Linked DNA regions of Xenopus tropicalis. The protein of the gene in region 1 purifies or fractionates together with the protein of each later gene. This does not show direct contact. Links are inferred from orthologs where the notes say so. Each region holds a gene or a part of one and is shown in the gene's direction. Other genes may lie near its edges.

The links. The genes of interacting proteins can lie anywhere in the genome.
Region 2: the proteins of ecd (region 1) and tssc4 purify together in Homo sapiens (affinity purification with mass spectrometry; 3 studies listed by BioGRID and IntAct, counting the BioPlex papers as one, with this or other methods). This does not show direct contact. The link is inferred for Xenopus tropicalis from reciprocal best matches to the Homo sapiens genes ECD and TSSC4.

What each region holds. Positions count from the first base shown.
Region 1 is NC_030683.2:38,362,548-38,367,069, reverse strand, and holds the start of ecd (protein ecdysoneless homolog), read left to right. Parts: upstream 1-1,646; 5' UTR 1,647-1,778; coding exon 1,779-1,785; intron 1,786-2,003; exon of another isoform or gene 2,004-2,025; intron 2,026-2,049; exon of another isoform or gene 2,050-2,159; intron 2,160-2,219; exon of another isoform or gene 2,220-2,357; intron 2,358-2,477; exon of another isoform or gene 2,478-2,568; intron 2,569-3,709; coding exon 3,710-3,925; intron 3,926-4,522. UniProt on the Homo sapiens protein: Regulator of p53/TP53 stability and function. Inhibits MDM2-mediated degradation of p53/TP53 possibly by cooperating in part with TXNIP. May be involved transcriptional regulation. In vitro has intrinsic transactivation activity enhanced by EP300.
Region 2 is NC_030680.2:22,340,830-22,345,177, forward strand, and holds the start of tssc4 (protein TSSC4), read left to right. Parts: upstream 1-1,343; 5' UTR 1,344-1,516; exon of another isoform or gene 1,517-1,591; intron 1,592-1,614; exon of another isoform or gene 1,615-1,939; intron 1,940-4,183; 5' UTR 4,184-4,256; intron 4,257-4,348. UniProt on the Homo sapiens protein: Protein associated with the U5 snRNP, during its maturation and its post-splicing recycling and which is required for spliceosomal tri-snRNP complex assembly in the nucleus.

The sequences.
Region 1 (4,522 bases):
GGTAACAAAAAAGTCGCGACAATTTCCGAAAAGTCGTAAAGACGCCGAAAAAATCGCAAAAAATACGAAAAAGTCGCAAAATGTTCGTTTTCAAATCAGAATTTTTCCAATTCGGTTCAGATTCATGTCTTAGTAAATGTGCCCCCTAGTGTAGAGCAATGGCATTTTTTTTTTAACCCTAACTAACAAAGGTAGTGCCAGTTGGGCAATTATGGATGTACATAGGGAATTTATTTATAGATTAAAACTAATAAAGTCCATAATTTCCCAAAGGAAAATACCTTTGCTATTATATATAAATAAGGCTTGTTTCCTCCTGCCCCTACTTTTTTCACATACACACCAACTCACATTGCATATTACAATGACATTACACATACATCCTTTTACAGTAGCTCAGAACCCATAATAGAGTGTTATTACAAATGCACATAGTTCATATTTTAAGCATTCAAATTATCACCCCCAATCTTTCCCCAACTGCCTTTGGGCTGGGATTCCAGGACTATTTTGAAAAATAAAATAAGAAAAAAACATTTATCACAAATCTCCGAACTGGCCCTCATGCACCCCCATACAGGACCAGTAGTGATAGGGGTGCATCATGACTTAAATTAGGGTGATTCCTGAAAAAATCAGGTGAGTTGGCAAGTCTGTATGCGACAAAATGAGAAGGTCTGAGAGCATGTCTGTGTAACTGTTTGGTATGTGGCATGATCTACTTTGGAGGTATTTTTAGATATTTCTGCCCAAGCTGAATTCTAGATAATGCTGTATTGCATCCTCCACCATCCCACCAACATCCAAATTGCAATTCAGCAACTGCAAGAGTTCCACATTCCTGCCTTATGAAAATATGCCCATCTGTCCTGCAATGCCAGCGACCCCATGCATGCAGTGTACCTGCCTATGGGTGCTTCTGTATAAAGCACAGGACAAAGGCCAAGATGGTGGTTTTCCTGCAGATGCCCCATTGCTGGATCCTTTTTGCCCAATTTCCATACCTAACAGGCAAAAAGAAATCTGGCATCTAAGGGAGGAGGGAGACAGCCAGGTGTATAGTTTGAAGACAGGACAGACCTACAGAGCAGCGGGGTGCTGCTTGGCCAGAAACCCTGGTGGGTTTGGGCTGAGCCTTACTATGCACCTACCCCACACCCTATGTATCATGACAAGTAAGAAGGGAGCAGTAGGGACAGTTTAACTAATCCCTGGTTCCTGTTACCAAAACATGGTCCCTCCAAGGAAAATGTTGCACATATCTTACTACAGCAGTTTGGCCACGCCTACCTTTAATGCCACACCCACTTTAATGTGTAGCTTTTTGTAACATTAAAAGAATACTTTGGTTAGCCACAAAATTTGACATTTTACTTCCTGTGTGCCCTGGGTACCATTATCTCACTATACCCCAGATTTGTCTTCTCCATTTTATCTGCTACACTTATGCCATTATTTCTAGTTTGTTCTTTCCTCACATTCAATTCAAATATTACCATAGGGCTCAGTCTGCAGATCTCTGGCAACTCAGCTGACATGCTTCTGTGCAGCTCTCCCCTCCCTCTCCCTGTAGCGGCTCAGCCACTTCCTTTACACTGGCTCACAGACAAAGCACAAGAGAAGCAGTCCGTCCCTCATCCCTCTCCCTCAACCTGTACAAAAAAATAATCTTTCACAAGCCGACTCTATACGTGATGGGGAATGCAGGAAACTAACTGCAGGTCTGAACCGGAAGTCAAGCAATCACAACAACCCCATTTTTGTGCGGCGTCCTAAAAATGAATGGTAATGTTATTGTATTAAAACTTATACTTGTAATGTTGCATTTTCTGCATGATAGATATGTTATTAGAAGTGTTTAGAAGTGATATTTAATGTAAAATGTTTCCTTAACATGACATATCCCAATCCTAACTTCCTTTCCCTACGTGTAAATATGCCCCATCATCTGCTTCTTTCTATTTTTCCCACCTCCTGGTATTTGTTTTGTTTTGCATTTTTACCTCGCCCCCTGCATGTTTATTGGATGTATTTTGCCAGTTTCCATACCGTCTAAAATGCAAGAGCTGTCATGCTTTTTCTCTTGTCAGTTCTCAGCCCTTTCTCCTGTTCCATAACAGAACGCTGCTGAAGTGAATGTCAGGCCTACTACCCCTTTCCCTCTCCAAGCTTGTGTTGTAGCCCCGCCCCTTCTCTGATGTAACAGGAGGCAGAGTTTCAGACATGATAGAAGTTCGGATTGGCCCAACAGCAGTAGGCTGAGACATTAGGCTAGAGGAAAGGGCAAGAGTAACGTGGTGTTACAGATGGGAGTGAGGTGGTGTTCGGCTACAGCAAACTAACTGCAGGCGCTAAAGGTATCATTATCTCATATTGGGAATTCTTCATTCGCCATCATTCATATGAATTGCGCGCAGCATTAGATCTTATTCTGCTGCGCATGCGCCCCAATCTCTCACTTGCTTTGCAGGGTAAAAACACGGCGATTTTCTATCCCTTGCCGAGGGTATTACTATGTATGCGCCTCAACTAGGCTTAACGCAAGTGATTTCTGCTGTTAGTTGCAGAGTAAGCCTCCGCTTCACCTCTATTAAGGATTATTTTGGCTACAGCATGTATGAGAGCTAAATGGCGGATACATACTGTATTGGATATATTTAGGAATGGCAGTGGGCTAGTTTCTCTTTGCAGCGTTTCATTTTGGGGTGAAACAAGAGCCATGGACCATTTATGCCAATGATATTGCTTTGCTTCAAGGTTCTGTTAGATTCTTCCTTTGTTTTAATTGGGGATGCAACAAATCCAGAATTCGGTTCAGGATTCTGCTAAGATTCTTTTTCAGCAGGATTCGGCTGAATCCATGCCTTTGGCCAAATCAAATCTGTATCCTGAAAAAACACCGGAGTTGAACATTGGTACTAATACCTTATTCCTGTTGCTGTCCTGGGAGAACACATTACATCAAAACCCTCTTTCTCAGAGTCTGTGGCGTAACTAGCATACAGTGCCTGGACCGTGGGGCCTGCTATATAGTAGTGCCCTTCTCCTGTCAACTAAAGAACTAAAGCTTCAGAGGGGCACAGCACCCACCCCAGTGCCTCGCATGCTGACCCCCACTTGCAGTGGGAGGACAGCCCAGGGCTGGCACTTCACTTAGATTGCAAGCTCTACGGGGCAGGGGCCTCTTTTATACTGTCTCTCATATCACATGGCACTTACTCCCGGTGTATTTATATTTATTTATTGTATTTATTATAACACTTGTCCTCCCTGTGTGTAATTTTGTATATTGTAAGATTGCACAGCTCTGCATACTCTTGTGGCGCTTTATAAATAAAGTTATACATACATACATACATGCATACACTGAGTTGAACCCTTGCAAGGTATTGGAGGAAATATTCTAGGAGGCTGAACTGTCAACAATTTGGTACATCCCAACAAAAGGATCTGTACAACAAAGGATAAAGCAGTTTGAGATTGATTATACAGTGGCTGAGCTTTGTATGATATTAAACATGTGGCACATCACTTAAATATAAACAGTTGGAGAGGTCTCCTGTCCAATTAACTTCTTGAACATTGGTCATATCTAGGATGAATTCTGTTGCCCCAATTACTTTTGTGACAAAAGAATATAGACGGTTTAGTCTCAGCCTGCTTAAACCTAGATTATTCATTGTAAATATTTACTTTTTTTCTATTAAAGCTTCAGCCAGCATGGATGGCAACAAAAAACTGGTTGTTGTGGAAGACTTTGTGGAGTATAAGTTGTATATGGTGACCCAAAAACCAAGCGATGCAGAGACAGAAAGAAAAATTCTTCAGGAGTATATAGAGCGCATACTGGCTAAATTTGCACCATTACTTGCTCCTTATATCTGGCAGAACCAACCGTTCAATCTGAGATATAAAGCTAAAAAAGGTAAGGCTTTGATGAATATATTTATTGAGCAAAAATGATAACATAAGTACATAGGAAATAACTGCATGTTTAATTGGCAACATTTTGCTCCACTTCAGCAAACCATAGCAACTAAGCAGCAGCAATTATTTAGTGGTCTAATTCTGCTAAAATTATGATAACAGTGGTTTCTTTGGTTGTTCTTGGGCAATGTTGCAATGCTAATACTTAACCTACCAATTCATTTGACTTACTTTCACCCTTTTGTGATATATTAAGCAATTTATGTGGTTGCTGGAGGTGTTAGCTTGAGGATGTTTTCGGTTTAGAATAAGAGATGACAGAAGGTAGAGGAATTATTAAAGGAAAAATATACCCCCTTTTTAACATGAACTCATTTGGTTGGGCTTATTTAGAAAAGGTGCATACATTGTACCTGAATTTCCAGAAATAAATTAAAATATATTTGTTTTTACACAGTCATACCTGATTCCACAGATTGAATGGAAACCATGATAGCCTATTTCTATTTGCCATTTTCCCACCTCCTTAATTTTAACAGTGTAATTCAACCCCTCCCTCACCTTGTTCCATTGTGAAATGATGGACTCTACTTTT
Region 2 (4,348 bases), on another chromosome or scaffold:
GGTGATGATAGTGGCATAGGTTACCTTAGTAACCTAACTTTATGGAGAGGAGACTCAGCTTTCCCCATGGCCAAAGAGGGACCCAAAGAGACAGGGGACCCAGTAAAAAGCAGCTGACATTCCCCATTCACAGCCCCTATGGCCCATGGGTGGTATGGGGGTGTCCAGAGATCCCAAGGTACACCCCTGGCTTCACTGTATTGGACAAGATTATTCAACTGCTTCACAGGTGCCAAAGAAGAAGGGCAGAAAGCCTGGGCAAGTGGTGATGATAGTGGCATAGGTTACCTTAGTAACCTTAGTAACTTAACTTTATGGAGAGGAGACTCAGCTTTCGCCATGGCCAAAGAGGGACCCAAAGAGACAGGGGACCCAGTAAAAAGCAGCCCACATTCCCCATTCACAGCCCCTATGGTCCATGGGTGGTATGGGGGTGTCCAGAGATCCCAAGATACACCCCTGGCTTCACTGTATTGGACAAGATTATTCAACTGCTTCACAGGCCTCATACACAGGCCAATTTCAGTTGCCGATATTTGTCCTTTAGACCTTGCCAACAAGCGGATCTTACAGTGTATGGCCCCCTTTATAATCAACTTGGTTCTCAGCTTCTTTTCTTACACAATACCCAGAAGTCATGGATACCATTACAAATCACAAGGCACTAGTACCCACCCAGGCGGCACACAATTATTTACCTACTGGGCACTTAGGGACCTAGACTGTGGGCCCCGCCAACAAGTCACCAATGGAAAAATAAGAATAATGGGCAGCACATGCATAACCAAGGCCCTGATCAACCCCAGTCACATCCCATTAGAGTAAAATCTTGCCCACAATCCACCTAAACCCTACCCACTCCCCCTGCCCTTTAATGACCAGTGAATCCTTCTTCTGGAGCCCCCTCTGCCACAGGGCCTCTGATTGCAGCACCCCTTTACCCCACTGATGGCAGCCCTTCCTATAGTAATTGGAAACACAATTGCAATTCTCTGCCCATGGCTATGATGCAGGCTACATGTTTGCTGAGATGTCATTTGGGGCAATGTAGTAAATCATAAATATCCCCATAGACACTGTATTGCCTGCTTATATAGTAACCTGGGATCCCTATGGAATGGGTTATTCTAGGTGCAACCATTAAGCAGAGATCATGTAAAAGCACTGCTAAATGCCAATTTGAGAGGGGAAAAAAGTACATAAACTTTCATAGAAATTTCTTTATTTTCCAATTACACAAATACAACTTTCCCCATTCGCGCCTTTAGCCTCGTTTGCAACACACACATGCAGTTGGAAGAACACCCCACTAGAGGGCGTTCTGAAGCGCCGCCCCCAACCTCGCACACTCATTGTTGTTTAGCACTTCCGCGTATTAGCGAGGTGCATGCTGGGAGGAGGCAGATTGAAGCCCGGGAAAACCTTATGGCTTGTTAGTTTGCGGTATGGAGGAGGCGGAGAAGAGAGAAACCATTATAGCTGAGCTGAGAGCGATAGAGAGCAGCGCTGCCAACCTGTGAGGCCCCGCTAGTGTGAATGGGAGAATGGTGACTATAGCGTTAGGCCCAGGGAGACAGTCACATGATGCAGTGTAAGGCGGCAGCGGCCCTGTGGATGTAGCGATCCGATTAGGGATATCCCTGCGCTCCTTCCTTGGTACCGCCATACCGGAAGTGTTCTGGGACGCGCATCCATTAATACCGTCCCGCATTTGTGCTTCAGGCATAGCTTCATGAGCCCGCACCTTGCCTGGCTGGCTGGGAAGGACATATAATGTGCAACGTTTGTTAAATATTTTGAGTGTATCTATCGGTGCTGCCTTCATTCTGGGGTTCCACTGTGACTTCCGGTATCACCCCAATAGGGGTGGGAGTTATAAATAAATCTCAACTTGAGGGTAGTGAGTTGGACATTGATGTAGTAAGCAGGAAAATATAAGGTACAGACTGGGTCCCACAATTCGGCCATATGCAATGGAATATTCTCCTGTTTGGTTAGAGATGCCAAGAAAGGCATAGGGAAGGGATTTTACACTAGAAGGAGCATCCCTGCTGGGCTCAGTAATGGAAATGACATGTTGTACAGTTCTGCACCTCACTTGGGTGGCGGGAATATCAAGGGGGCGGGGAATTAGAAGCACCCAATGACTGTCCTTAGAATACATTCAGACGTGTGATTGGATGATGGAATTGCATTTCTTATTATTAGAGATCTTTCTATTAATGTTGATGTGCCCTGTCTCTGACTGCACTGCTAGTCCTAACTCTTGGGAATGGTGATTCCTTCATTATTTATACATTGTCTGAATTTCTCTTTCATATTGGAAAATGCAGTCATACCTCCCAACTGTCCCGCTTTATGCGGGACAGTCCCGATTTTGCCACCCTGTCCCGCTGTCCCGGATAGCTGCAGATCTGTCCCACTTTTAAAGGTCTCTGCTCCCGTGACGCCACACGCACGTCTCCCCTTAGCGCCACAGCTTCTGCGCCGCTCACTTCAGTTTTAACATAAAGCCATTCACAGTGCAGCAGCTGCGGCACTCAAGAGACGTGCATGTGACGTCACGAGGAGGAGAAGAAGAGCCCTGGGGCACAGCCGGAGGAAGCTGGTGGTGGTAGGAGCAGGGGGTGCCACAGAAAGCAGGTTGACGCTGGGGAGGACACTGGAGGAAGGTTAGGGGCAGCTGGAGGACCCTGGGAGGCAGCTGGAGGATGCTGGGGGGAGCTGGAGGATGTTGGGGGAGCTGAAGGATATTGTGGAGGATGTTGGGGGGAGCTGGAGGATTTTGGGGGGAGCTGAAGGATTTTGGGGGGAGCTGAAGGATGTTGGGTAGGACGCTGGGAGGAGCTGAAGGATGTTGGGTGGATGCTGGGGGCAGCTGAAGGATGTTGGGGAGGATGCTGCAGTGGGGAGCAGCCCGTAGTAGGGGGACACTGCGGGAGGACCAGCAATGTTTTAGGGGGTCCCTGCTCTAGCGCCAATGCAAAACATAACACCTGGCTACCAATGTCTGGTCATGAGTTTGTCATTAAATACAGGTGCCACAGTGCATAATGAAATCCTTAGGGCCACAATATGTCATAAAATGATTGGGGCCACCGTGTCTGTCTTCTGGTGCACTTTGTGTATGTTATGCTTTTCAGGTGTGGTTTTGTAAAATGGGCCTGTTTGGGGGGGGCGTGGCCATAAAGTGGGCGTGGCCTAAAAATGTTGGCTTGCGCGCCAGACATTTCTGTCCCTCCTTCTGCTTTTCAAATGTTGGGAGGTATGAATGCAGTAGCATTGCTGGGTAGGCTGGCATGTTCCCATGATTTACTCTCTTATAAATACAGTCAGTGGCATGAATTTATATTTTGTGTTCGTTAAGTGACTCCTCGCTTTAGTGTTTTACACCATAACATTCCATTACACCTTTTTAGTGATCAAATTAAGGTGTTCTTTAAATTCTAAAATAGTTACTCATTTGCCTGTTATGGGACATCTATGTGTCTGTAGGCCTACAGTTCACCCTCTGTATACTGCCTGGCTGGGGTTTCAGGCCTGCCTGCCATTGCAAAGAGGTGGCCATTTAATTGAATTGGTATAAATGAATGTGGTTTTTGTCAGGAGAATCTACTTGGCAGTTAGCAAGGGAGGTGCTATGTGGGACATATTAATAGGCACCCTTGCAACTATTAATCATTTATTGGTGCCTATGAATTTACCTTTATAGATTCTAAGGTATGAAAATGGGTGGACACCCCTAGTGCCAACTTCTAGTGGCTCTGGTGCTGCTTCGGGATGGCAGAGATTTGCCAAAGTAAAAAATTCTTCCATGGTAGCTTCTATATTAGTCTGCATGTAATGTAAAATATGATGATGATGTTATGAATTTCGGACATGTTGGGACTCGATGTGAGGGCCGTTTATTTGGAAGAAATGGCCGTGTAGCTAATGTTAGGCTCTTCATGTAAAACTTACTGGCAGACCTTGCTAGGGTTGGCACGTAGTTGACAGGAGACAACTTGCTGACACTTGATGTGAGTGAGGACTGGTTATGTGGGATATATGTCTGTTTCAGTGGATATAATGAAATCCTAGCTACCGCAGGCTTTTATTCCAAGCAGAGGCTTTTGTTAGAACTTGAACACCAGTTAAAATGAACATTGAAGGTTCATGTGTGTCTATTTTTTTTTCTTCCTAGGGTGAAATCACTTAGAATATTGGTGGAATTCACAGACCCTGAGAAAGGAGAGCTGAGCCAGGCACAGGATAAGGTAATTGATTAACTGGGGAAAGAATAGCACTTTTTTTTTTTTTTAATTAAAATCAGTGTTTGCCATTGCTTAATGTTTTCTGGTCTGTCGCA